Linked DNA regions of Oryctolagus cuniculus. The protein of the gene in region 6 purifies or fractionates together with the protein of the main gene of each other region. This does not show direct contact. Links are inferred from orthologs where the notes say so. Each region holds a gene or a part of one and is shown on either strand. Other genes may lie near its edges. The genes, in order: CCNE1, USP11, CDK14, CDK6, cyclin-A2, CDKN1A and CKS1B.

What was found.
Region 1: the proteins of CDKN1A (region 6) and CCNE1 purify together in Homo sapiens (affinity purification with western blotting; 19 studies listed by BioGRID and IntAct, with this or other methods). This does not show direct contact. The link is inferred for Oryctolagus cuniculus from reciprocal best matches to the Homo sapiens genes CDKN1A and CCNE1.
Region 2: the proteins of CDKN1A (region 6) and USP11 purify together in Homo sapiens (affinity purification with western blotting; 4 studies listed by BioGRID, with this or other methods). This does not show direct contact. The link is inferred for Oryctolagus cuniculus from reciprocal best matches to the Homo sapiens genes CDKN1A and USP11.
Region 3: the proteins of CDKN1A (region 6) and CDK14 purify together in Homo sapiens (affinity purification with mass spectrometry; 3 studies listed by BioGRID and IntAct, counting the BioPlex papers as one, with this or other methods). This does not show direct contact. The link is inferred for Oryctolagus cuniculus from reciprocal best matches to the Homo sapiens genes CDKN1A and CDK14.
Region 4: the proteins of CDKN1A (region 6) and CDK6 purify together in Homo sapiens (affinity purification with western blotting; 6 studies listed by BioGRID and IntAct, counting the BioPlex papers as one, with this or other methods). This does not show direct contact. The link is inferred for Oryctolagus cuniculus from reciprocal best matches to the Homo sapiens genes CDKN1A and CDK6.
Region 5: the proteins of CDKN1A (region 6) and cyclin-A2 purify together in Homo sapiens (affinity purification with western blotting; 11 studies listed by BioGRID and IntAct, counting the BioPlex papers as one, with this or other methods). This does not show direct contact. The link is inferred for Oryctolagus cuniculus from reciprocal best matches to the Homo sapiens genes CDKN1A and CCNA2.
Region 7: the proteins of CDKN1A (region 6) and CKS1B purify together in Homo sapiens (affinity purification with mass spectrometry; 3 studies listed by BioGRID and IntAct, counting the BioPlex papers as one, with this or other methods). This does not show direct contact. The link is inferred for Oryctolagus cuniculus from reciprocal best matches to the Homo sapiens genes CDKN1A and CKS1B.

What each region holds. Positions count from the first base shown.
Region 1 is NC_091449.1:26,436,176-26,440,220, reverse strand, and holds the start of CCNE1 (G1/S-specific cyclin-E1), read left to right. Parts: upstream 1-1,245; 5' UTR 1,246-1,566; intron 1,567-1,651; exon of another isoform or gene 1,652-1,732; intron 1,733-2,042; 5' UTR 2,043-2,071; coding exon 2,072-2,094; intron 2,095-2,203; coding exon 2,204-2,291; intron 2,292-2,521; coding exon 2,522-2,590; intron 2,591-4,045. UniProt on the Homo sapiens protein: Essential for the control of the cell cycle at the G1/S (start) transition.
Region 2 is NC_091453.1:32,773,003-32,776,502, reverse strand, and holds part of USP11 (ubiquitin carboxyl-terminal hydrolase 11), read right to left. Parts: coding exon 3,403-3,500; intron 3,288-3,402; coding exon 3,226-3,287; intron 3,102-3,225; coding exon 3,005-3,101; intron 2,671-3,004; coding exon 2,497-2,670; intron 2,395-2,496; coding exon 2,236-2,394; intron 1,851-2,235; coding exon 1,626-1,850; intron 1,502-1,625; coding exon 1,418-1,501; intron 1,309-1,417; coding exon 1,214-1,308; intron 1-1,213.
Region 3 is NC_091447.1:45,005,334-45,009,558, forward strand, and holds the start of CDK14 (cyclin-dependent kinase 14), read right to left. Parts: upstream 2,801-4,225; coding exon 2,710-2,800; intron 1-2,709. UniProt on the Homo sapiens protein: Serine/threonine-protein kinase involved in the control of the eukaryotic cell cycle, whose activity is controlled by an associated cyclin.
Region 4 is NC_091447.1:42,948,090-42,952,079, reverse strand, and holds the start of CDK6 (cyclin-dependent kinase 6), read right to left. Parts: upstream 2,801-3,990; coding exon 2,568-2,800; intron 522-2,567; exon of another isoform or gene 162-521; intron 1-161. UniProt on the Homo sapiens protein: Serine/threonine-protein kinase involved in the control of the cell cycle and differentiation; promotes G1/S transition. Phosphorylates pRB/RB1 and NPM1.
Region 5 is NC_091435.1:65,355,125-65,359,025, forward strand, and holds cyclin-A2, read right to left. Parts: upstream 2,539-3,901; coding exon 1,681-2,538; 3' UTR 501-1,680; downstream 1-500. UniProt on the Homo sapiens protein: Cyclin which controls both the G1/S and the G2/M transition phases of the cell cycle. Functions through the formation of specific serine/threonine protein kinase holoenzyme complexes with the cyclin-dependent protein kinases CDK1 or CDK2.
Region 6 is NC_091436.1:132,894,521-132,896,786, forward strand, and holds part of CDKN1A (cyclin-dependent kinase inhibitor 1), read right to left. Parts: intron 1,472-2,266; 5' UTR 1,461-1,471; coding exon 1,016-1,460; intron 1-1,015. UniProt on the Homo sapiens protein: Plays an important role in controlling cell cycle progression and DNA damage-induced G2 arrest. Involved in p53/TP53 mediated inhibition of cellular proliferation in response to DNA damage.
Region 7 is NC_091438.1:43,534,876-43,539,040, forward strand, and holds the start of CKS1B (cyclin-dependent kinases regulatory subunit 1), read right to left. Parts: upstream 2,801-4,165; 5' UTR 2,536-2,800; coding exon 2,477-2,535; intron 1-2,476.

The DNA.
Region 1 (4,045 bases), on a different chromosome or scaffold from region 6:
CCAGTAGAGATATGTCTCTCTCTGCCTCTTTTTCCACTCTTTCAAATGGATAAAATTTTTAAAGTGTGTTTCATACACCTAATCTGCCGAACATCACAGCTTCTCCATGCATTCATAAATACAACTTGGGTGTCCCCCTTCTTCCAGGCACTACACCAAGGGCTGGGGGTCCCCGCAGCGAGTAGGGCTGAGGCAGGTGCCCTCAGTGACCCGAGGACTCCGAGGCAGAGGCAGAGGCAGGGGCAGGGGCAGGGGCAGGGGCAGGCGCAGGGGCAGGGGCAGGGGCAGGGGCAGGGGCAGAGGCAGAGGCGGGCTCAGAGCTGAGGGGCAGGTTCCAAAGCCCTGAGGTGAGAACGGGCAGAAGGCACATAGGGGAGCTGTGAGGGGCCATGTTGGAGCCAGACTTGGAGCCAGAGGGCGAGGGAGCTCCTCTGAGCCTCAGATGGGTGGCAAGCACCCGGAAGGTTTTAACTGAGAGATGGTTGCACAGGAAGCCCCGGGTCAAGGAGGCCTTCTGCCGCTCTGGCTTCTGGGGCAGGGCCCAGATGGAAGACCGTACATGGAAGGTGCTGGAATGAGTGGAACGAAGGAAAGAACAAATGCACTGGCAGACGGACACACACAGAGGGCACCAGACGCGGCTCCCAACGGCCCAGGTTCTAGGCCCAGGCCCCGGGCGCTGTGACCTTGGGGACATCCCCGCCCTGACACGCAGGGCCCGGAACCCGGCGTCTCAGGGGCGGGGAAGACGTGCCAGGCGGGACGGTGCGCGCGCGGCAGCGGCGGCGGCGCGCGGCAGCCCCGGGGACAGCGGGTGCTGTGGGCCGCACGCTCTCCCGCATCGGCCACGCCAGACGCGCTGGGCCCGAACCCGGCCGCTCGCCGTGTTTACATTCCACCCGCGCCCGCCACGCGGCTTGCTGCCACTCCGGCGCCGCTCGGCCCCGCCCCTCCGCGGCGCTCGCGCCAGACTTCTCCCGCGTTGCGCCCGGCGCGGCCCCGCCCTTCTCCGCGCGCGCCGGCCCGCTCTCCCGCGTCCCGCCCCGCGCAGGCCCCGCCACGGCCCTCTGGCTCCGCCCACCACGTCCCGCGTCCTGTCCGTCTGGCGCGCAGGCCCTGTCACTTGGCCCCGCCCCTCGCGGCATCTGCGCGAGGCCCCGCCCCGCGGCCCGCCCCCGGCGGTAGCCCCGCCCCCGCGGCCCGTGCACCTCGCTGGCCGGCGCGGCGGCGGAGGCGGTTCTGAGGGCAGCCGCTGGGCGGGCCCGCGCCCTTGGGCTGGCTCTGAGGGGCTCGGAGCCGGGACGGGGCGGGGCGGAGGCTGCGGGGAGGCGCGAGGGCGGGCCGGGGCCGGTTCCGCGCGCAGGGATTTTTAAATGTCCCGCTCTAAGCCGGGCGCAGGAGCAGCCGGCTCGGCCGCCAGCGCGGTGTAGGGGGCAGGCGCGGATCCCGCCACCGCCGCGCGCTCGGCCCGCCGCCGCCTCCCGGCTTTCCGCTCGCCTGCCGCTTCCAGCCTCCTGGCTCCTGCCCCGGCTCGTGCGCCGCTGTCTGCCGCCGGGACGGCTTCGGGTAAGCGCCCCGCCGCGGGCTGCTGGGACGGGCGCCGCGGGGCGACTTCGCGAGCGCCCGACCCGGGCCGGGGTGGGGGTGGGGGTGGGAGTGGGGGTGGGGCGGGTCGCCGGGTCCCGGGGGCATCAGCGCGGGGTGCCCTGGGGCAGGGTGGCCCGGAGATGGGGTAGGGAGAGGTGTTGAGGGGAGGCTGAGGCAGCCCCGGCCCCTAGGGAGGTGATGGGTTGGCGGGGGGGGGGGTCTCGGGATATCCAGGGCCTTCCCCATCCCGGGCTCGGACCCGGGATCGCAGGCTGCGGGCGGCGCGGCGGGTGACAGGCCACCCCGGGCCCATCGGCCATTTTCCCGGCCGGCCCGGGAGGCTCCCGCCGCCGCCGCCACCCGCGCGGGAGGGGGAGGGGTGCCCGGGGCCAGCCCTTAGGCTCTGGCCCCCGCGGCCTGCGGCGCTCACCTCGCTGCCCACTTGGTGCCCCCAGGCCCGAGGTGCTAGCTGGAGCCCCGCGCCATGCCCAGGGAGAGGAAAGAGAGGTGAGTGGCCCGGCCGCAGTGGGACAGGGAGGGTGTGCGGCGGTGGGGGAGGGGCGGCCGGGGTCGGGGGAGGGCTCACCCCTGCCTCGGTGCCACCCTGGCTCTGCAGGGATGCGAAGGAACGGGGCACCATGAAAGACGACGGCGGCAGCGACTTCTCTGTCCGGTCCAGGAAAAGGAAGGCAAATGTGGCCGTTGTGAGTACAAAGGAGACAGGTTGGGGAGAAGTCCTAACCCCTCCATCTTACCTGGGTACCAGGCTGGGGTTTGCCTCGGATTTGCTGCAGGGGGTTGAGGGTGTGGGTGGGCTCTTTGGGGCAGAAACGGTGCTCACACTCTAATCGACTATCCCCCCTTTTCTCTGTGTGTTTTTGTCTTTGGGTTGTTTGGTGTGCGTCCTTGGGGGGTGGGGGTGGTTCTGTGTTAGTTTTTGCAGGATCCAGATGAGGAAATTGCCAAGATTGACAGGACTGTGAGAGGCCAGTGCGGCAGTCAGGTAGGTGTGCTGGAGGCTTGGGCCTGCCTGGAGGGCCTCCCACCGACCCTGAGTCCAGAGGCCTTCCCAGGTCTCCTCTCCTGCTGAGGACCCTGGCTTAGAGTTCTTCCCTGTCCGCACCCACAGTGTGCCCGAGCATGCGCTGGTCTTGGGATTCCTGGCTGGTCCTCTCTGAGGGCGCATGGTGTGCCGGGAAGACCCAGAGTGGACCTGGAGTCCTCTCTGTCCTCTCCTGTGGCCCAGGAGGAAGCGGAGTCCTGTGTGGGGGCAGCGTTGGGCCCACCACCTATTCCCCACAGCCAGTGAATTCTGTGTGTGTGAGCAGCCACCGCTCCTCTGTTCACACCTGTGGCTTATGGTCATGGTGCTTTAGGACTTCTCCCATCCCCTTTAGGTCAGGTTACAAACTGCTTCCCTTTCTGGCCCCAGAAATTCTCGCAGCCCATCTAGCGAGGACCTACATGGATCCGTGCTGCCCGGGCCTTGCCCTGGCTACAGCAGGAGTGTGATGTGTGTGTCTCAACGCTTTCCTTATTGACGACTGCATTTGTCTTTCCCCTCCTCAGGGAGTTCCTGCCAACTTCCCTGCATGCAGCGTGATATCGTTGTAATATCAGAAGTTCCGTGCAGAAAGAGCTTGCATTATCTCTTTACCTCCAGAAATGGCTGGAGACTGTAGTTACGGCCCCAGTGTGGGAAGGAGCCTATCTCCAAGCTAGCTGGTCAGGCCTTCTGACTCTGCCACTGATAAAAGCTGAGCGGGACGCGCTTTGACCTGAGCACACTGCCCCAGCTAGTTTAGCAGTGGGCAGCACCTCGCTTTGTTGAGATCAGGAGCCATGCGCCTGGTTTCAGGCATGAAGGGCTTCGAAGGGTGGGCCACGTTGTTGCAATGGCATTTGTCACTGTGCTAAGACTCCACTAAGCACTTCTGGGGAGGACCCAATGACTATTGAAAAGGGGTGGATTTCCTTGTCTGTTGGAAATACTTAACTCTAGCAAAGGAAACAAGACAGCACATCCCCAAATATTCTCCTTTTTTCCCCCATTTAAAAAAAAATAAACTTTTAATCAAGCAGGTTGATTTTGTGGGTGTTGTAAAATGAATCTGTACTTGGTGAAATTCAAGGTAAACCCCAGGGGTGTTTTGAAGAGAAGACAAATTTGCAAGTGAAGATGAAGCAGAGCCATCCATGCTGAGTTCTTGGAGTTTTGTTAGAGCTGTGTCTGTTCTCAAGGATAACCTGAGCAGCCCTGGGGCGCCCGAGACAGGGCTGGCTCTGCCCTGGATGTTAGGGAGGTGATACCTGCGACACAGGGATAACCAGGCCATCTCCATGAGAAGGCGGGTTCATGGTTGTGCATGCTCATGTTAGCAGGTTTCTGCACATTTTATGGAGAAGACAGCTTGAAAATTATCCATGTGTCTTTGGTATTTGGAGTTTGGGGTTACAA
Region 2 (3,500 bases), on a different chromosome or scaffold from region 6:
ACTTTTAGTGACAAAGGAATTTAAAAATCATCTATTAAAAAAACACTTTTCCAGGATCAGCACTGTAGTGCAGTGAGTTAAGCCATGGCTTCCAATGCTGGTATCCCATGTTGGAGCACGCGGCTGCTCTACTGATTCAGCACCCTGCTAATGCACCTGTAAAAGCAGCAGACGATGGCCCAAGTGCTTGGGCCTCTGCACCTACATGGGAGACCTGGAAGAAGCTCCAGGCTCCTGGCTTCAGCATGGCCAGCCCTGGCCGCTGCAGCTATTGGGGAGTGAGCCAGCAGACGGATGATCCACCCCCGAACCCTAACTCTGCCTTTCAAATTAAATAAATAAATAAGTAAATAAATATTAAAAAAAAAAAAAAAACACTTTTTCAGGGCCAACACTGTGGTGCAGTGAGTTAAGTGGCTGCTTGCAACAATGGCATCTCCTGTTAGAGCACTGGTTCAAATTACAGCTGCTCCACTTCCGATCCAGCACCCTGCAAATGTGCCTGGGAAAGCAGCAGAAGAGGCCTGAGCCCCTGCCACCAACCAGGGGGTCCTAAATGGAGTTGCAGGCTCCTGACTTCTGCCTGGCCCAGCCCCTGGCTGTTTAGACCATTTGGGGAGTGAACCAGCATTTGGAAGACCAATCTGCATCCCTCCCTCCCTCCCTCTCTCCCTCTCTCTCTGCCACTCACCTTTCAAATACACAAATAAATAAAAACACACACACAAAAAACCATTGCTTGGCTTACAAAGAACTTTTCTGCTCACAAAGCATGTTTAGTTTTTACTCAAAAACTGAAACAGATTTAAAAGTTGTTCCAAATGCTCCTGTGTTCAAAAATCATCTTAGTGTTCTGTATTTCAAAACCCCCTTTTTGTTCTGAAGACTTCAACAGAGTAAGGAACTCAGCTCAGAAGGCACAGAAGGAGCCCCGTGAGTGCTCAGTGAAAGAAAGGAACAGCGGCTTCCCTCCCATAATGAGGAAGAAAACACCCACAGACACCCTGTATTAAAGCTGTGTCCCTCAACACTCGCCTCGCTGACAGCACACACACGCCCCGGCCCTGCCACAGCACATGGCCAAAGGTCTACGCAGGGTGCCCGGCGAGGGAGGCCGAGGAAGGAAGAGGGCAGGTGGTGAAGGTAGAGCCACTACAAAGCAGCAGACCAGCTTCCCAAGGAACCAGCGTCTCCCCCTGGGCCCCTCACTCACACAAAGATGTCATCCCGGTCCAAGATGGTGCTCAGAGAGTCCTCCAGCTGGTAGAGCTTATAGAAGCGGTGGCTGAAGACATCGGCCACCATCATCTGAGAACAGGATAGGGGGACACTGGTCAGCCCGCAAGGTGTCCCCTGGCCCTTCTGCCTCCCCACCCTCTGAATCCCACCCCCGTGGGGCCTCCTTCTGCAGTCTCACCCTATCTGGTGCAATACCGGTGTGTTTGGACAGAGCCACGCACAGATCTGAGATGTTGCCTTTCTTGGGGACCACAACGCGGTGCTGAGGGGACAAAGAGTATCCACAAAAGATCAAAAGGGTCTGTGGTGAGCTGACACAGCGAACCTTAAGGTAGGGCACAGTGCCACGCTCCTGACCACCTGTCCTTCCCTGCGTCTCCCCATACCTGCTCGGGCTTGCGCCGGGGATCCATAGGGATGAAGAAGACCTCCATGACCCTCTTGTGGCTGACAGGAAGTGGGACACTGAGGTAGCAGAACGGGTCAAAGGTCACAGACACATTGCCACAATCAGGGCACACCAGAGTGGACTTGAAGAGGCCGTGGAACGTGTCCACGATCACAGAGTCGTTCCGCCGCTTGTGGTTCTGCCAGGCCTCCTGAGCCACCTCCTGTTGACAGGGTCATGATGGTGTGCGTGTGGCGGGAGGAGGGGCTCGCCCAGGGCAGGGCAGAATCATGGTTTCGGGTGGATTTGTACAGGGTTAAAGGGGAGGCTGCTGCTGAGGGCCGGCAGCACAGTTACAACTAAGCACATCTACTGCTCGCTCCGAGGGCTGGAGTTTATTTGGGGCAGGAGCTTGGGTTGGGGACAACTCTGAGCAGGTGCAGAGGCAGATATGGTGCTGGAGCTACGGGCCGAGACTGAGGCTGGAGTGGACGTCCAGGGTAAAGGAACTTAACAGCAAACAGGGGGATGCTGGGTACTCGGCGGCAGGCCAGAGAACTCCCGAGGCAGAGGCCGTGGGGGCTTCCGTGGGACTGAGGAGCACCCACCTGATCTGGCCGCCCAGCAGCGTCGCACAGCTCCACGTACTCCTTCTTCTTGACCCGGTTGAGGTCCTCATGCAGCCCATCCAGGAGGAATGACAGCAGCTCCTGCGAGTCGTGCTGCTGGTAGCCCAGAAACTGGGAGGCAAAATGGCCGACTTTGTTCTAAGGTGGGCAGGGCAGAGAGAGTGTGAGATGAGACGGAGGGAGTCAGCAGAGGCAGGAGGGGCGGCGGCGGGGTGAGGGCGCCCCAGGGTAGCGCCGCACCTTGAACACGTGCGGCACGATGGAGCGGTGGTGGCCCGACCACGCCTGCTTCACCAGGTCTGCGTAGGCCTCTGCGAGCTCCCCCTTCATGCCCAGCGGGTTGCGGAAGTTGAGCTCCTCCAGGTAGCGGTTGTTGAGGAAGTACTCAGTGAGCTGTGGCACGTTGCTGAGGCACTGCAGGGGCGGCAGGGCCAGGAGAGAGAGGAGGTGGCCAAGGTGTGGACAGGGAAAAGGAAAGAAAGAGGGAAGAGAAAGGGAAATCGGGAAAAAGAAGATATTAGTATTGCCCGAGGAGGAAGTGGTGGGAGGGGGTAGAGGGGAGGCTAGAGAAAGCAAGGGACAAGCAGAGAGCGAAGGGATTGGTGTTTCAGGGGTGCATACGGGCATGCTGACGCAGGCTTGTGAGGCCTGAGCTTCCAACCTGAGCCCTTGCCCCAGCCCCCTACTCTGTCCCCAGGTCTTGCCACCCACCCTGTGGCAGTGCCAGAAATGGTTGTAATGGCCAAACCTGTAGGGCTGAGTTCATGAAGCACGTGTTGCCCAGATTGGTAAGACCACAGATGCCCGGCTGGCCCTGGAAGTCCTCATCTTCTTCCGCTATGCTCCTGAGTTGGATGAGAAACGTGTCAGCGGAAGGCCTACTACGTATGGGGACGAGGGGCACATGGGTGCAATCACTTGGCTGACTGTGGGCCACCCCCACTGTGGACCAACCACCCAAAGGCTTACATGACATGCAGCTGCGCGCTGGGCCAAGTGCCATCTCTGTTTCGGGTCTCCATAATAATCAGCTGGGTTGGAAAAGGAGAAAGAAGGGATGCAGAGGCATTCATGGAGGGCCTGGTGGGCACTTCCTCCTCTCTTCCCCCCAGCCTACCTGAGCAGAAAAGTCCTCCCTACTCTTACCTGCCCAGACTCTAGGGCAGCGTCCAGCACTGTGACGTGTGGGTCACACAGGCGATCTAGAGTGCCTTCTGAGTTCTTGACCCAAAGCCGCGTGTCCA
Region 3 (4,225 bases), on a different chromosome or scaffold from region 6:
ATAAACACCCATTGGTTATCATCCATTTTTTAACATTATCCTCATTTTCTATAGATGAATGTTTTAGTAATTTCTTATAGATAAACAAAGATAATGTACATGTCACTATATAACAAGCTACAGTTCTGAATCACACTAGAAAAGAAAAGTCAAGTCAGCACATTTGTTTCAAAAGCCATCTTAGACTGGTTAAATGAAACGACTACATTGCAATGCTGGATTATTCAACAGGAATAAGCCATTTTCTCTGAACTCCCCATTAAGTACCCACGTAGAAAGGATAAGCAGAAACCAGAAGGAATGACAACAGCTTCTAAATTGATCTTCACCTTGTGACAAATACTGCATTCGATATGCTATCTTTCTATCCAACTCCAACTTCACAACAACTAAATGAATACTCACAGAGGAGGACTCTGGAGTTGAAGGAAACACTACCGGTTGCTCAAGGTAAGCAGGGAAAAAGAGGTTCAAGCCCAGGCTTGCCTCCAAACTTCAAGCCCATCCTGTTTGAGGGCTGGCTGTCCCACAAAGTCAGTGACCACTGTGTCCCCCTTCTCTCACCTTCTTCTGTGAGCCGGGCAATGTCGGCACAATACAATCACTGATGAAACTAACAATAACACAGCGAGAACATCTGAGTCTTTATTATGTATTGTTTCACCAAGTACCAACCACAACACTTAGCTACATACGGAAAAAGTGAAACTCAGGGAAGTAAGGGGACCTGTCCAAGGTCACTCAGCTAGGAGTGGCAACATGGGGACTATCCAGTCCATCTAACACACAGCTTACATTCCTAACTCATGCAATCCCATAACACCAGCATCATCCTCAACTCAACAGCCTCCAGTACCTCGAAGGTCCTTAATCAATGAGAATGAATGCATCACTTTTGGTGTTGCAAAAAGAAAAGAAAATAAGTACATAAGTTTTATTTTTCTGTGATGCTATTTCTAACAAGTATGCTGACCTTGGGATACAACTCTAATCACTTACAATTCCAGTATCTCCTCTTAGAGCATTCCACAGTGAGACCCGCTATTCAGAATCACGACCCTCCATCACTCTAAGAAATAATCAGTCATGTTCACTGCACCAAACTGTTTCCTGAAGGGAGCATATAAAATCCACTAGATCTTAAGACATTTTTAACAAGAGCTGGACTCAAAAAGAGTTTCACATCACTAAATCTCAGTAAGCTAGAAAATCCAATTAACTGTAATACCCCCATTTGCCAGCACTGCAGTTAATCCAAATTTTACTGATTGTCAATCAAAACCTTGAAATTATTTAAACATAAGGAATTTTTATACTAATGTCCTTAGTTTCTTACTGAGACTCGATTGGGATGAATTATTTAACATAAAACTGGAGGGCCTCCAACACAGTCATTAGCATTAGTAAATACAGTTCGTGTGTGTTAGAACAGAGCTTAATGGACTCTGTGATGGTCTGGGTGGGGGCTGAGACACTCCGGTTAATCACGCACAGGACTCAACACCTCAGAGTCTCACACTTCCCTAACTCCAAACTTCATCTGAATGTAGGGACTGCTCCCTGAGCATCCCTAACTATGACGGATGAGACTGCAAACGCATACACACAGTGAATTAAACCCGGGCCAATTTTGGTTTTGCAGCATAACGTTACAGTCATCTTGGGAAACCTGAAGTCAGAAGACAACCAAAGGGGGGGGGGGGGGACAAATGTTGACTCAATCTTGACCCCCGTTTTCTCTCACTTGAACAAAGTTTGCATATGTTACAACGAGTGAGTGGACGGATGACGGCAGCACTCCTGTTCGCCCCAGGTTTTCACTCTAAGAATTAGCACCTTTCTGCTTCACTTCATTAACGTGAGACAAAGGCCAAAGGATTCCTAGGGACCCCGGGGGTCGTTTCTCTGCTCGCCGAGAGCAGGTACCTGCATCGGTGAAAAGTTATGACAGCTGGGGAGGCAGCTACGATCTGCAGCTAAAAGGGGGTTTCTGTGCCAAAAGTCAAAATCGAGTTCACACGTTCCACGTGACACCGCTGTCACCCCGTCATGCACGGCCTGACACGGTTCTAACCATCCCAAACCCTCCTCTGGGGCTTTTTGTTAGTCGGTTACAAGACAATAGCCCCCGGCTCCAGGAATCAGACCGAACCGGGAGCCTCAATTCCTAGGCGTCCGGAGAACTTCCCGGCGCGCCTTTTCCTCCAGCTGCGGGGCGATCAGGGGACCTCGGCACTGGCACCGCCAAACCTCGCTTTCTAGGACAGCAAGTGCCGAACAAAAGGTCTCCAGGTGTCTCTCCCACTTCCCTGTGCGTCGCTAGGTTAAACAGCACCAGGGCACGGCCCAGCCTTCCGCCAATTTCCAAAGCGGAATCTCTAGCCTCCGCACCCGACACCGAAGCCCGCAGCGCGACAATTAGCCCGAGACCCCGGCGCGCTGCGGGGCGGCGGAGCCCCCTCGCCCGCGCCCGCGGGCGCCAGGAGCGAGCACACGGGATGGGGAGGACGCCCCCAACCCCGGGTCTGAAGCCATCCACGCAGGAGCCAGGTCAGGGGGCGCAGGGGTCTCCCCTCCCGCCTGCGCCGTCGCCCGGGTCGCCGCCTCCCGCCAGCCCTGCCCGGGCGGCAGCTGCCCGGCTGGGGCGTCGGGGCGCGAGGCCGAGGGGAGCGGGACCGGGGTGGGGGGCGGGGGGCGCTGGCCACTCACCGATGCGGCTGAAACTCTCCGACAAAGTTCTCCGCAACTTCTTCATCTTGCCGATCTTTTCGGCCGGCTGCGGCTCAATGAGGTCGCACATCTGGACGACGCGGGGCCCGGGCAACTTCCCTCAAACTGGTCCAGAGCGGAGCGCAGACAACGGCGAGGGCGCGCGGCGCGGGAAGGCGGCGCCTCCGGCTCGTCCTCCTCACCGCCTCCTCCCCGGCCGGCGGCGACGCGCAGGGCTCGGGAGGCGAGCGGCCGGGCAGGCTCTGCTCGGGCCTGGGCCGCGGCGGGGCTGACGGGCGGGCGGGCGGGGGTGTTTTACGTGGTGCCGGGGGCGGCCGCGCTCGCCGCCGCTGAGGTGGCCCCGCGCCGCGCCGCCGCCGCCGCCCGGCTCATTTTTCCCTCCTTTGTAAAGCGGGCGAAGCGCGGCCGGCGGCCGGCAGGGGGGGCGGCGCGGCCGCAGTCGGAGGCTGAGGAGGCGGAGGCGGGGGCGGGCCCGTTCGCGGTGCGGGAGCCGCGGGGCGCTGCGGGTGCGGGCACAAGTTCTCAGCCCCGAGTTGCGGGCGCCAGGCAGGAAGAGCCGGCGGCGCGGAACCGCCCCCTCGCCGCCGCCCCGCCCACCCCGCCGCGGAGGCCCCCGGGGCGCGGGACCCCGGCGCGACCGCGCTGCGAGCCCGCGGCCCCCGCGGCCCTCGCGGGCCGGCTCGCGCCCCGGCGGCGCCCCCACCCGGCCGGCCGGCCGGCCGCCCCTCCCGGGGGCTCGGGGACCGCGACGCCGAGGGCCGCGTCCCGGACCGCGCCTCAGGGTGTGAGGGAGCTGCTCGCTGGCGCGGTGGTCTCCTTGGCTCCGACGCGCGCGGGCGGTGCGCGGGGGAGGCCGCAGGGAGGTTTAGCGGTGACCGTTATTATTATTGCCCTTTTATGCCGACGACGTTGTGAAGTGCGCGCCCCAGAGGGAAAAGTGGGCCCGTCTTTTGTGGAGGTCGAGCGCGGACACGGAAGCTTCCACGCTAACCCCCCGCAGGCAGGGGGTCGTGCGGTGCCCCTCCCCACTGGTTGCAGGTGCAGGGGTTTCAGGCTAGAACGCCTGGCTCGTCGGTGCAGAGAACAGCGGCCCTCGGCCTGCAGACACCTCACTCGGACAGTGTGTTTCCGAGTTGGAAGACCTGCCGGCTGAAAACGATCCTGACCTCCGTTTCCCAAAACCTCAAAAGAATGAACCGACCCGACGGGGGAGGTTTATAAAATCCCAGGACAAACAGTTCCGGCGGCAAGCCCACGCAGTCGTGGTGTGGCGCGAGCTGCGAACGCCGGTGCCCTGGGGAGCGCGAAGGAAGAGGGGTGGGGCCGGAGGGCGTTGATTTGAGGCCAGCAAAGTCCTTAAGAATAGAAATGTTAGTGATCTGGAGTCATCCGGCTGTGTGATAAGGCCTTGTGCGGGTGGGACAATGCTGTTTGGTTTAAAGGAAGTTTGGGGGAGTTCAGAGATTTTTATCTGAAGACAAAAACTAGCCCCCTG
Region 4 (3,990 bases), on a different chromosome or scaffold from region 6:
TTACGATCAATTACTTATGACTTGGAGGCACTTATAATGGCATCTGCCCTTTTAAGAAACATTTAAAGAACCAAGCATCAGCCTGTAAAGCTGATCCTGGGGGCAGCAACAAATCACAGGCTTGGGGTCAAACTGACAACTCTCTCTCTCCCTCTCCGCAGAGAAGAACTGCCGTCACCTGTCCTTGATTTCCTGACTCTGCCTGAACAGAGTAGCCACCTCTGAAATCCGTTACTGCTCAGTGTGCTCAGTGTGGCGATCATGGGAGCCAGTGGTCGTCCCAAGGCAGCGGTGGAAGAAGAAACAGGAAGGAAATGAAACAGGAAGAGAGATCTGTAGCTCGTGAGGGTGACATCATCAATAATTTCCTCAAGTGTCACTGAGCTTCATGGCATATGACTGACAGCCTTTGTGGACAAACTACAGGCTCACTGTACTCAAGTAGCCCCTGTGGCTCCGAAGCCTGTAATCTAAGGGTATGAATATGATTTGTTCTTGGAAAAAAAAATAAAAAGGCCAGGTGCACTGATGCCTGCTGGGAACCTGTTCTGGGCAAGCGCGTCCCACTAATCTTCAGGAACACAATGTGTAGACACCTGAAGTGCTTCTAGATGCACAAAGTGTTTTCACACATGGCGTCTCACTTGACCCTCACCAACTACCAACTCCAAGGGGTGGGTGGCACCGCACCGCTCAACAGGCAAAGACAGTCTTAGAAAAAGGTGTCTTCTGATTCGTTAAGTAAATCCTCCTGACATTTGCAGTGCAGAATCTCAGTTGTGGCTCAGTGAGAGATCTCTGAAGACACACCAGCCTCAGCAGGTTTCACCCCGCGGGTGGGACGGAGGGGCCCCAGCGCGGCAGCACGGGGCGCGAGCTCTCCTCCGTCAGGAGAGCGAGTCCTGCCTCGTTAACAACAGTGGTAGTACCACCAGCGTGCCTCTGTAACACCCCCATGCTGGAAGGTCAGATGTGGCAGCTGCCTGGGATGGGACAAAACCAGAAATCTTGGTCTCAAAATTCTACTGGTGAAGTCACCCTTTGGAAGGGCTTAGGCGACACCCTAGGGAAAGTACTAAGTTAGAGGGAGCTAACTGTCCCCTCTACGCCCACTCTGATACCAACAAACACACCCTCCAGGGGTATTTTGTTTTTTTGTTTGTTTGTTTGTTTAGTTTTTTCAAAAACACGGAGAAAAGGTAACCTGTCGCTTTAATATGTAAGCCCACCTCCCAAAACACTCTCCCAGTCTCTTTATCTTCGACCTCCACCCTTGACAAGCTGATGGAGAGGTATAATGGAGTCCTATCTTTACAGTCATTTACTACCTTATTTATGTATTTATGATTCTCTGCTGCCTTCCAGCCTGAGTCTTCACTGTCTTGGGAACAAAACACTACACCAATCACCCAGCCTAGGGTAAGAAGAGGCAGGTCAGAACCTCCCACGGAGACTGCAGGCACCCGGTCTCCCTGAGCCTGTCCAGGGTTTGGTATTTCAGGTCATTCTCGGGTCGCTCCGTTTTGATGAGTAATGTTAAACTGTTTGACTTTTCACAAAAATATTTAGCCATGCTTATTTACATCACTTCATCCGCAGCGCACGCAGCAGGCACGTAAGTGTTGAGCACAATGCCTCGCGGAAGGAGGGTCTGGGACCTCCTTCTCCCAACGCGTGAGGAGTCCACAACCCGCTCTGCCTCCGTGCATGCCTTTGTGACCTGAAGCCATGCAGCTCCTCTGTTTAAAAACAAGATGACACAAACGCACACACAGTCAACTGCGCAAAGGGGCGATTCCAGGATCACCAAGAACCCACCATTCCCCTAAGTCTCACTCACACACACACACACAGTTTCATTTAATATCTTTAATACCGGTCACAGCACAGCAGAGACTTCAGGGACTGACTGCGTACCCCACTCCTGCCAGTCACCCAGGAAAAGCAAGGACAAAGAGCACTGAGAATCTAAAGCCACCACACCTTGGACACCCATCCCTTGGCAGCGGTGGTCCAGGGGCTATGCCAGCCCAGAGAGAAGTGGCACGGACAAGAAGGATGACAGCTCTGGGACGATGCTGTCTGCCACTGGGCGACTCCCCGGATCATCAGTAAGCCATTCTCATTGTGCAACTTTAATACAGAGAAACTGGGTGTGATTAGCAAACATATTCTTATCCGTTTCTGCATTTTTAAAGACCTCATTTGTGCAAGGCTCCACCCTAGAAGTTTTCTCCTCGCTTATCACACGGACAACCTGCTCCCTCTCCTTTGCAGTCGCAAGAAAGAAAGAGAGAGAGAGAGAGAGAGAGAGAGAGAGAGAGAGAAAGAGAAAGAAAGAAAGAAAGAAAGAAAGAAAGAAAGAAAGAAAGAAAGAAAGAAAGAAAGAAAGAAAGATCCCCCGAAGCCGGGAAACGCAAGCAGCAGTGGTCTCAGGTCTGTTGGTTCTGCCCCCAAGGCCTCCCCCGCAAGGCCCTCGGGGCGGTCGGGGAGAAAACACCGGCGGCACGGCGCCGGCGAAGCCCGCACCTCCCCGGGCCCCCGACGGCGCGGACCCCAGGGCTCACCTGACCACGTTGGGGTGCTCGAAGGTCTCCAGGTGCCTCAGCACCGCCACCTCGCGGATGGTGGAGAGCGGCATGCCTTCCTCGCCCGTCTGCACCCGCACGCGCTTCAGCGCTACGAACCGGCCTCCGTTCTTGAGGTCGCGGGCCTTGAACACCTTCCCGTAGGCGCCCTCCCCGATCTCCGCCACGCACTCGTACTGCTGGTCGGCGCGGCTCAGGCCGTCCTTCTCCATGCCGCCTGCACGCCGCGGCTCCCCGGAGCTCGGTCCCGCTCTCCTCGGCCCCGCCGGCTCCGGCGCGGGCTGGCGCAACCCTGGTGCCGCCGCGGCGAAACTCCGCCTGCCGAGCCGCCGGGGAGCGAGCCGAGCCCTCCTCTTCCCTCCCCGAAGCGAAGTCCTCCGCACCGACACCGAGGCGATCACATAGTCTCCACCCGAGCGCGTCTCGGTCCGGGGTCTTTGCGACTGAAACGGGGGACAGGAGAGAGGACGACAAGTCAGACCGCCCGGGAGCCTTCCTCGGGGTTCCTGCAGCCTCCCCTCCTCCACGGCGCCCCCACGCGCGCCCGGCCCTCTCCCGCGCCGCCCAAGCCTGCCTGGCTCCTCCCGAGCAAAGCGAGGTCACTTTCTCTCCCCGCAGGGCTGCAGCCGTCTGCGCGCGGCGAGGCTGCAGGGGCCCCTCGGGGATGAGCGCGCCGCGCGGGACGCAGGGCAACGGGAGGGGGCGTGCCGAGCGGCCCGGAGTGTGCCGGGAGCGCGGGGGAGGGGAGGCGCCGGGCGCGTCAATGTCACGGCTCCGCGCGGATCCCTCGCGCGCCGCGCCGCCCGGGGGCCTGGACGCGGGTGGGGGCTCCCGGGACCCCGGAGCCCGCGGCCGGGCAGGGTGCGAGAAGGGGTCGTCACGCATCTGCTCGGAAATTGCTTCCTTTCTTTTTCTACTTTCAGTTTTTCTAAGGGGGAGACCTTTAAAGACGCGGCGCACACGTACGTGGTCTCGCCGGGGGCCGAGGCGCCTCGGCCGGGAACGCAATCCTGCCTCCGACTCCGAGGGACCTCCCTGGTGGAAACCCCGGGAGAATCAGCCATCTGGTCGGGGCGGGCTGGGCTGCGCCGGGGTGGGCGAGCCGGAGGCCCTGGAAGGGGCAGCCCCACGTGGGATGCCGAGGGTGGGGGCGAGGGGCGTCCGCCTCCGGGACTCAGCGCGGGGAGGAAGACACCAGGACCGCCGACTCGCCCCGAAGTTTCCAGCCCAGGTCAACCTGAGCCGAACGCTACCTCCCCAGAGGGTGGTGGGGGCGGGGGGCGTCGACGCTGCGCCTCCCGGGCCGAGGGGGAAGGGGCTGCGCCCCCCGGAGCCTGCCCTCGCCACCCTTTCCCCAACCCGCGAGGCCGTCCGCGGCGCCGTGGCCCCCCGGCTCCCGGGA
Region 5 (3,901 bases), on a different chromosome or scaffold from region 6:
AAATTTTCCTATTATTTTTTCTTTTATATTTTTGTTAAAATTGGTTCTTTTTTTTCCTAAAATATTTATTCATTTATTTATTCTATTGGCAGAGTGACAGAGAGAGTGAGTCTCCCTCTCTCTGTGTCTCTCTCTCTCTCAGATCTACACACACACACACACCCACACACACAGCAAGAGCAAGAAATATATATAGGGATCTTTCATCCACTAGTTTATTCATCAAATGGTCAAAATATTCAGAGTTGGGCTAGGGCAAAGCCAGGAGCCAGGAATTCATCATGTTTTCCAATGGGTGGCAGGTACCTAAGTCCTTGGGTCATCATCCACTGCATTCCTAGGAACATTAACAGGGAGCTGGATTGGAAGAACAGCAGCTGGAACTTGAACCTACACTTTGATATGAGATGCTAGCATTGTAAGTTGTCGCTTAATATGTTGTGCCACAATGCTAGTTCCATGTAGGTAATTTTTCTATTGATTTGTTTTCCAATTCACTATTTTTTTTTTAAGGTAACAAGTTTTTGGTTTATTTCAAACATGTACATGTAACTTAAGAGTTTGAGGCTTGCTCTCTGGTTTGACTCTCATCTTACAGAACTGTTATACACAGACATCCCTTTTTCATCAGCTATTATGTGTTTTTTTCACCCTGTAATTAATAAAAATTAGCACCTAACTCTCTATTAAACTATTTTTGGATACCTTTCAGGGTTACTGTATTTACTTTTCCTGCTGTCACATTTTGTACCCTAGTGCAAAAAAATAAAAGACCTCCTATTTCAGTGATCCAAAACTTAAGCATAATTAAGTGAACTGTTAATTTATTTTACTTTATCCGCAGAACACAGACCACCATTGGGAAACAAGAAAAAGCACCAAGTAAAAAGCCAATGAAAAAGAGAAAAAAGAAGAGAGCTGCTAATTAAAGCTAACATAGTTGTATATTTGTATATATAACTATTAGATGTATTTATTCAGTGCTAACAACCTGGGTATCATTTATTCACAAATCCCTAAGTTTTATTTTTTTAACATTAAAGTGAATGTTCTAGAGCTTTTTCTCTGAAAATTTTGTCATCTCAAAGCCTTATTCCCCAACCTGTGTATGTGTAAAGTGTAAAAATTGATGAGGAATAAAATAATCTGATAGGCTGCTGTGTGTGTACAAAGAAGAATGATTTTCATCGTACTGGTAAATAAGCACAGATTTATTGTGCAGAAATCGGCAGACTGATCCAGTTGCTTAGGAAAATGGATATTAGAACATTGAGGGTCTGTTTTCCTAAAGTCAACTTTTTAGAGAGTGGCTTTCCACTCCCCACTGTACTGTATAAGCCAGGTAACTTTTCTAAGAAATCTTGAAGTCAGGTTTTTATCTCAAATTAAATTTGACTTATAAAATTTTCCAAATCAATTTATTAATTCTTAATATCCTGACAGCTGGCATCATTAATACTTTTAACAAAACCACTTAAAATTAGCCAAATATCTATGATAGATACATGTACAAAAGATATACAAATTAAAACCATTTAAAAAGTAATAGATACCATAATTTGTTCTTGTCCATAACTTCTGTATTCAGAAATGATTGTAACATTCAAAACCCAAGATAAAAACTGTACACAATATACTTTGAGTGATTTACATCTTAGAAACAAATGCAGTCTTTCACTGTTAGACATTTAGTGTCTCTGGTGGGTTGAGGAGGGAAACACCATGATACTTTGAATTTTTGTACTTTTCTCTTATTGATTGTTGTGCATGCTGTGGTGCTTTGAGGTAGGTCTGGTGAAGGTCCATGAGACAAGGCTTAAGAGTCTCCAGAGTGTATCCAGTCTTTCGTACTAATGATTCAGGCCAGCTTTGTCCCGTGACTGTGTAGAGTGCTAAATGAAATGCTGCTCCAGCAATAACTGATGGCAGATACTTTAGGTATGGGTCAGCATCTATCAAACTTAATTCTCCCAAAAACATTGCTAAACTTTCGACTTTGCAGTTTGCAGGCTGCTGATGTAGAAAGTATTGGGTAAGAAACTGATTTACCGTTGGTGCAGCTAAGTCAAAAGCAAGGACTTTCAAAACTAGATGCTCCATTCTCAGAACTTGTTTCTTTGTATAGGTATCATCTGTAATGTATACAAACTCTGCTACTTCTGGTGGGTATATTTCTTCAAATTTTGAGGCTAGCAGCATAGCAGCAGTGCCCACAAGCTGAAGCTTTCCTCTCAACACAGACATTGAAGAAAGAAACCTATCGATGTAGTTCACCGCCAAATGCAGAGTCTCATTCTGTAGTTTATATTCCTCTCCTACTTCAACTAACCAGTCCACGAGGATAGCCCTCATACTGTTAGTGATGTCAGGCTGTTTCTTCATGTAACCCACTTTAGGTTTACATTTAACCTCCATTTCCCTAAGATATGTGTGAATATCCTCATGGTAGTCTGGGACTTCATTAACACTCACTGGCTTTTCATCTTCTAATACAATTGACATGTCCATAGTATATGGTGACTCGAAACTACCATCCATTGGCTAATCAAGAGGTACCAGTGGTTTTCTTTGTCCAGGTAAAGTGATGGCTGAATTAAAAGCCAGGACATCTTCAGGCTTGTCTTTTTTAGATTCCGTGGGCCTCTTGGGAGGCTCCTCTTCTGCTTCATCCACATGAATGGTGAATGCAGGCTGTTTACTGTTTGCTTTCCAAGGAGGAACAGAGACCTGCTCATCATTTATAGGAAGATCCTTAAGAGGTGCAACCCGTCGCGTCGTGGGCCTCTGTTGTGGAACTGGACCCCGGGAGTTCCCAGCCTTCAGTACCACCAGAGCAGCCTGGGCCCGCGGCTGCTGGGCGTGCACCGCCTTCTCGGGGTTGATGTTCTCCTGGTCCTCTAGGAGCGCCGAGCCCGCCTCGCCGGCCGCGGGCTTCGGCACGTTGTGGCCCAACATCGTTGCTCCAGGGAGCTGGCGGCGGGATCAGTCTGCCGAGCCAAGCAGCGTGCACACTCCGCCCAGTCGACCAGCGGCGCCGATCCCGCCCAGGAACGCTCCAGCCGTAGCCCCTCGCCGCAGCCCGGGCCAGTCTGCCAGCCCTCCCGCTCGCTCCCCTGTCTCCGGAACGCGCAGGATCGAGGAGGTTGCGAGAGGCGCAGGCAAACGCTGCCGGGCGCGGAGGGCAAAAAAAAATCCAATTCACTATTGCTTCCTCTTTCTCTCCCATTCCACTGTTGAGCCCATTCATGGAGTTTTCAAAATATTAGTTATTGAATATTTTATTTCAAAATATATTTTCTTCTTTATATATTCTTTTCTTTGGCTAAAACTTTATGTTTTTTATATTTGTTCCAAGTATATTCATGATTATTGTGGAAGTATTTTTATTGTAGAGTCTACAAAATCCTTGTTAGACAACCCTGAGTGTCAACATCTTTAGATCATGTTTTCTCACTCTAATTGAGAATAGCCTAGTTTTCCTTTTAACATAAGTGATTATTAAAATTAAATTCTTGATATATTAGTGATTAATATTGTGAGACATTTGATCTCATTTAAATATTTGATATGGCAGGATCCTATGACGCTACTCCAATGGGGAAAGGACATCATCTTATTATCAGCAGCTTGGCCTCCATTGACACTGGGGAAGGGGTACTCTTTATAAGTGTGGGGCAGTAGTAGAAGACAAGACTCTCCACTATGTACCTACTAATACTACTCAGGCTGGATGTGGAAGAATTGCCTCATTACTGATCCCCATGTGGCTTCTCTGACACTTTCAGGGGATGGTTTGCCTTGTTACTTTTAAGATTAGCTGAAGTCGTAACTCTGTATTTGGTCTTCTCGGACATCCATCCAGCAGGGAAGGAGAGGGGCACCTCAAAATCTCCATGTCATA
Region 6 (2,266 bases):
CTGAAAATGGCCCACAGGACGCTCGTCTGCACCCCTCAGCCTCAGCTGCCTCACCTACAAAACGAGGCGTGGGAGTGCGCCTCCAGCCCAGCAAGGAGGATGCCTGCCTCCCACACCAGGGTGCCTGGCTTCTATTCCGGCTCTCACTCCCGACTCCAGTTTCCTGCTAATGCCGACTCTGGAATTCCGGGCAGCCGCTGATGGCCCAAGAAATCGGTTTCCTGCGTTCCATGTGGGAGACCTGGATTGAATTCCCAGCTCCTGCCTGCAGCCCCAACCCAGGCTACTGAGGACATTTGGAGAGGGAACCAGCAGAAGGAAGCTTTCTTTGTGTCTCTTGAATGAATAAGTAATAAATTGCAAATGAGGCTTCTCCGTGGGAGTGCACTCTAAGGAGGAAATCAATGGTCTCTCTAAAGGCTTTGGTCCAGGGCCCGGCGTAATAGGTGACCAAATGCCAGCATCACTCATTCACCTTTCATGGAGCACCTGCTCCACCAGACACTGCTCTCCAGGCTGGGGACTCCACAATGAACAAGAGACGCCCAGATCCCTTTTTTGTGGGGCTGATATGCTAGTGGGAGAGACGGCCCGTGTCAAGGTCAGAAGGAACAGTGGATCCAGGGTAGAAAAATGCCGACGAGGACACGGCGGATAGGTGGGGGGAGGGAGGGACGCGTGTGTGATGAGGGGAGGGAATAAAGTTTGCAGAGGCCAGAATGGCGCTACGGCCAGTGTCCTCTCCCCAGCACACGCCCTGCGCGACCTCAGGCCAATCTCTCCCTCTCGGAGCCTCGTCTCCTTGGAAGGGGAGCAAGATTGTCTTCAGTCGCTCAGCAAGGACTGCCGGGTAATAAATACGCCCTGGACAAACGCTGGCTACAGCCCTGTGTGCAGCCTCACCTAGGCGGCTTCCCTTCTCGGGGACAAGCTGAAGCAAACAGGACAGGTCCCGCATGGGGGGGTTCCGAGGGCCCCAGTCCCCCCTAGCATCCCTCCCCACACCCGACCTCACCTGTCAGGCTGGTCTGCCGCCGCCGTTTCCGGCCCTGAGAGGTACCAGGCCCGCCTGGGGACTCCTCGGGCCGTTCCGGGGAGCGAGGTACCAGGGTGCAGGTCAGCGACAGGTCCACGTGGTCCTCCTGAGCCGCTGGCAGCAGGGCGGCTGAGGTGCTCGGCCGCTTGCACCCTGCCGGGTCCTCCCTGCCACCCCGGGGCCCCGGGGCCAGGTAGAGCTTGGGCAGACCCAGGCCCCGCACGCGCTCCCAGGCGAAGTTGCCCTCCAGCGGCGTCTCAGTGACAAAGTCGAAGTTCCAGCGTTCGCGGGCCTCCTGCAGGCAGTCGGCCATGAGTGCGTCGCAGTCTCGGCGCAGCTGCTCGCTGTCCACGGGCCCGAAGAGGCGGCGGCAAGCCTTGCTCCTGTGCGGGGGCTGTGGCGCCTCGTCCGACGGCTGCGACATGCTGCCTAGGGCTGGGACAGTGGAAGGGTGGCCTTGGTGAGGACGCTTCCCGGTTCCCAACAAGGACTTTCTACCGCACCCTGGCTGGGGCGGGGCATCCACCCCCACCCCCCAACAGACCCCAGGTGGGGGCAGAACTCAGCCAGCCAGGCACCCTGACGTCAATGGGGGCATGGGCAGCACGGGGCGAGCTTATGTCCACAGCATGACCTCACTGCAATGGCCTGGCCGGGAGCAGGGTCCTGTTTGCCATCAGCGTTATCAGCTAAAATCAATTTGTCCTCCCCTGAGGTGGCCCTCAGGGGTGTGAATTGCCAGAGTCCAGTAGTTTCCCAGTGATAGTCCTGGCCAGGAAGTCGGTTCCCAGAGGGAGGCGTAGGCAGGGGCTCCTCCAGCCTCCCAACACAACCTCCCCCATCATTCCTGCCTGGAAAAGTGAACCCCGGGCTTTGGAGTAAAAACACGCAGGCTGTCATCCCAGCCCCACGGCTTCCCACGTAGACGTTGCATGTCTCTGGGCCTCCGTTTCCTGGTCTATGGAAGCTGAGAGAGTGCCAGGGTGGGGGCAGGAGTCCCTCCAGGCAGGCCGAGCAGCAGCAGGTGTGACAGGGGCTGGGTTGGAGGGCAGGCTCCGCGGGGCGACCCCGACCAGTGGCTTAGCGTCTCTGCGCTCCCCTTTCCTCCTCTCTAGGAAGAGGCCGGTGACAGCAACAGTCTCAGAGGTGGGGGACATGCTTGGGCAGCACCTGGCCAAGGCGCTGAGAAGACCGTGGTGTTAGGACGCCTCTGTGCCTGCAGCTCTGGCT
Region 7 (4,165 bases), on a different chromosome or scaffold from region 6:
TAGTACTGGATACAGCCTGTTGGACAAGTGCCTGTATATAAAGCCAAGAAAGGAAAAAGAGAAACTGGCTTCTGGAGTTTATACAATCTTTTTTTTTTTTTTTTTTTTAAAGATTTATTTATTTGAAAGGCAGAGTTACAGAGAGGCAGAGGCAGAGAGAGAGAGAGAGAGTTCTTCTATCCACTGGTTCACTCTCCAGATGGCCGCAATGGCCAGAGCTGTGCCAATCTTGAAGCCAGGAGCTTCTTCCAGGTCTCCCACATGGATGCAGGAGCCCAAGGACTTGGGTCATCTTCCACTGCTTTCCCAAGTCACAGCAGAGAGCTGGATCAGAAGTGGAGCAGCCAGGCCTCAAACCGGCACTCATATGGGATGCTGGCACTGCAGGCAGTGGCTTTACCCGCTACGCCACAGTGTCGGCCTTTGAGTTTATACAATCTTATTGTGGGGTAGAGGCAGCTGAAAATATAGGCCAAGTTATAAAAATTCTCACAAGACTATATATATAGTTTTAAATTTTATTTATTTGAAATGCAAAGTTAGATATTTTCTGTCTGCTGGTTTATTCCCCAAAAGGCCAAAACAGGCAGAGCTGGGCCAGGCTGAAGCCAGAAGCCAGGAAATTCATCTGGGTCTCCCATGTAGGTACGGGGGCCCAGGGACTTGGACCATCCTCTGCTGCTTTCCCAGACACACTAGCAGGGAGCTGGATTGGAAGTGGAGCAGCCAGAACTTGAACTGGTGCCCGTATGGCATTGTAGGTAGCGCCTTAACCCGTTATGCCACAACAAGGCTCCTCGCAAGGGTATATTAAAGAGTGCGAATGAGTACTTCCAGTGACTGAGTGCCAGGCACTGTTGATGTTCATTTTCTGTGCCTTTGTGGATCTTAGGGTTTTCTAGTAATTACCCACAATGTAACAGGCCCTACAAAGAGCATGAAATGTTAACATCGATAAAGTGGGGTGTGGAAGACACATCACAGAGGTGAACTGTTAGTCTTCTTTCAAAAATCTTGAATCTCATTTTCCTAACTCTGAAGGGGCATGCCATGAGACTTGATTCTCTGACCAAGGATGAGTCTCCATGGCAAAGAAATGACTCCTCTGACTGGAACTGGACTCATTCAGATACACTTCATCACACGCAACAAAAATGTCCTAAATGCTCCCTCAGCACTAATTATCAGAGGTTTTTTTCCTAAAGAGATAATTCTAGTCTAAATGTCTGAAAATAGCTGACATTCTAACCAGCCCCTGGCACAAAATCTGGCCTCAGTACATTAAAACAAAACAAAACAAACCCCTCTCTTAAACCAAAACGCCACTGCCAAACTAACAGTTACATCTTCCCAGGGACGAAACTAGTGATGTCTCCCAGCCCTGCAAACACGTCATAAGCATACAGTTGGAGTTCGCTTAGTTCGGATGTAGAGGAAAACAGCTGAGGGAAATAAAAGGAATGGAGTCTGAGAAGGATCTAGGATGATCCCAGCCTGAAGCTGGTTATGTGTCTGTAAACACAGCCCGAACCGGGCTGAGGGAAGGCACGAGAAAACCAAGCTTCCATTTCCCCCTCCATTCCAGGAGGCAAGATAAAAGCCGCAAGCCGTCTTAAATATTGCAATTGATACAGATTAGTGTGACGACAACACTTGTAGAATTCTGTCTTTCCTCCTTTTCCAATCTAATATTCCTATGGGCTCAGAACTTATCAAACCCAAACGCTCCCCCATCTTGGGCATCTGGCCATCCAGTACCTCCGGGACAATTCTGGTCAAGCTGTACTTTTCCCTTCGTTGCTACAGTGTCACCTGAGGGCTCTTCCAGGGAGCCCCCGCCCCTTCCTTGCCAGGCTGTGTGTCCCCACCACGCCCCGCTCACGGCCCGGGCTCCGCAGGCCCACCACCTTCTTCCAGCCGTCTGCCAGATTCTTGCTCAGAATTTTAAAGACCGTGAGATGCTCACATCCAGTAAACAAGTGAAACCTGCACGCACTCCACTGGTTCTCAGTGCTTCTCGGCACTTTAATCCCCGGCCCGGTCCTCGACGCCCCCGTCCTAAAACAAGCCAGACAACCACGCCTCTTTCCTTCCCCAAGAATAAGCAGCATTAACTTCCTCAGCATTCTCACCGCTCGCAGTGAGAACGCGAGGAAAAGGCCAGCTCCGCTGCTGACACCTTCACCCAGTAGACTCCACAGCAGCTCCCAGTGAAGCTGAGACCAAGACCCAGAAACCCACAGGGTGAAGGTGGTCGGACTCATCACGCCTCCCCTCAACCGGGGGCTGACTCCAGACTCCACTGTTCCAGGGCGCCGGCCACCCCCCGCGCACGCGCCTTCCGCGTTCCACCAACCTCACACCCACCCCCGCTGGTCTCCTGCGCATGCGCCCCCTCTGTCGCCTCCATCCTCGCTACCAACTCCTCGTGCCTTCTCTTCTCCCGACCTCGCTACGGCCCCCCGCCGGCACTAACCGGTACTCGAACTCCTCGTCGTCGTACTTGTCCGAATAGTAAATCTGTTTGTGCGACATGATCGCTCTGCCTGCGGGCCGTCAGCCCCGCGCTGCCAACCTCCAAACAACTCCCAGCAGCACGCGCTCCCACCCTCTTTGGCCTCGCTTTCAAACACACCGCCCGCACTTCCCATTGGTCCTTTGGGCTCAAGGCGGGACAGCTCCACCTTCGAGCCTCCTATTGGCTTAGGATTTGCTTCTCCTCCAGTCTTTATTGGAGTGCGCTTCTTACGTTTCTCAAGCACAAACTTGGGTCAGAGCTAGGCCTCTAATTGGTTATCGCGGCGCCTGTGAGCGCCTTCGCGCTACCATTGGCTGATTCAGGAAACTAGGCGGGGCGAAGGAGGGACCGTGAGGTAGAGGGTCAGGGGTTAGTGAGGCCGGAAGTGAGTGTAATAAAGTTTCTCCAGGGAGGCCGGGCCGGGGAGAAAGTTGGAGCGGCGACCTAAGCAGGCAGTGGCGTGATCCGGAACCAAATCGGCCCGCGGCGCGGTGCGGAGACCCCATGAGGCCCTGGTGAGTTTTCACTTTTTTTTTTCTCTTTAGGCAACCCACTCCTCCACCCCGGAACCCCTCTCCCGGGACCCCACTTCCGGTCTTCACTGCTAAGTCCCGCCCCTGAGACCCCCTCTCCGGAAGTCCCACCTCCCAACTTCAGGGGGCTCCCTGAACCCCAGTTTTTAAATTTATTGTCTCCGACCCCTCCCTGTAGCCCAGTTTTCCTGGAAGTCCCACCCCCAGACATGCTTCCAGCTCCACAAGAAACGCTTCGTTAGTCCTCCCAGTTCTTCCAAACTCCGCCTCCTCCTCGCGACGATTCTCCGCTAACTCCTGTCTGTCAAAGATCCTATCTCCCAAAAGGGCAAAGCTCTGCTCTTGAAAGAACGATTCGAATTCACTGAGGCCACGCCCCTCGATAGGCCCCGCCCATAGAAGCCCCGCCCCTTCCGCAATCCACGTCCGATTGTCCCGGAGCCTCATCTCCTGGAAGTCTGCTGCGCATCCTAGAGGGCCACGCCCCCTAAGGAACTCGATCCGGGTGGCACCCAAGTCATCACCCCAGTTTCCTCAGTCTCAGAAGCTCCACCTGCTTACGTTTCCTGTCCTTTCTCTCTTGGGGCCTTGGGCTCAGTTTTCCCGAGGGCTTTCCCGCTCCACTAGGTGGGAGCTCTGAGGAGTGAGATTAGAGGCAGCCTTATCCTCCCCCAAGGGTGGGCCTGGGCTTGGGGTTTGGCCCGAGGACGGGACAGAGGCTTGCTCATAGTTTCCCAGCCCACCGCAGAAACAGCTGTAGGTTGAGGCTGTGGCTAGACAGGGCCGTGGATTTGCTGATGTGTGGCTTGAGGACGTGACAGGAGAGAGAACTTTGTACTACCAGAAAACGGTGGTTTGCAATGGGGTTAGGGATTTGTATCCTGTTTTTTTTTCTTTTTTCTTTTAAGGGACTCCTCAGCCTCTACTTGTTTGGCTCCATCCCCCGCACCCCCAGCCAAAATTCTTGTCTGGGCATTCCTCCTGGCTCCACTTGTCCTGCCTTCCCTGCTGGAAACATTCCTCAGGCTTTCGCCATTTCCTGCCCCTTCCCGCTCCTCCCGCCTCCTCCCTGCTGGGCTCCCCCCTCCAACACCCAATCACCTGAACTTCCAGT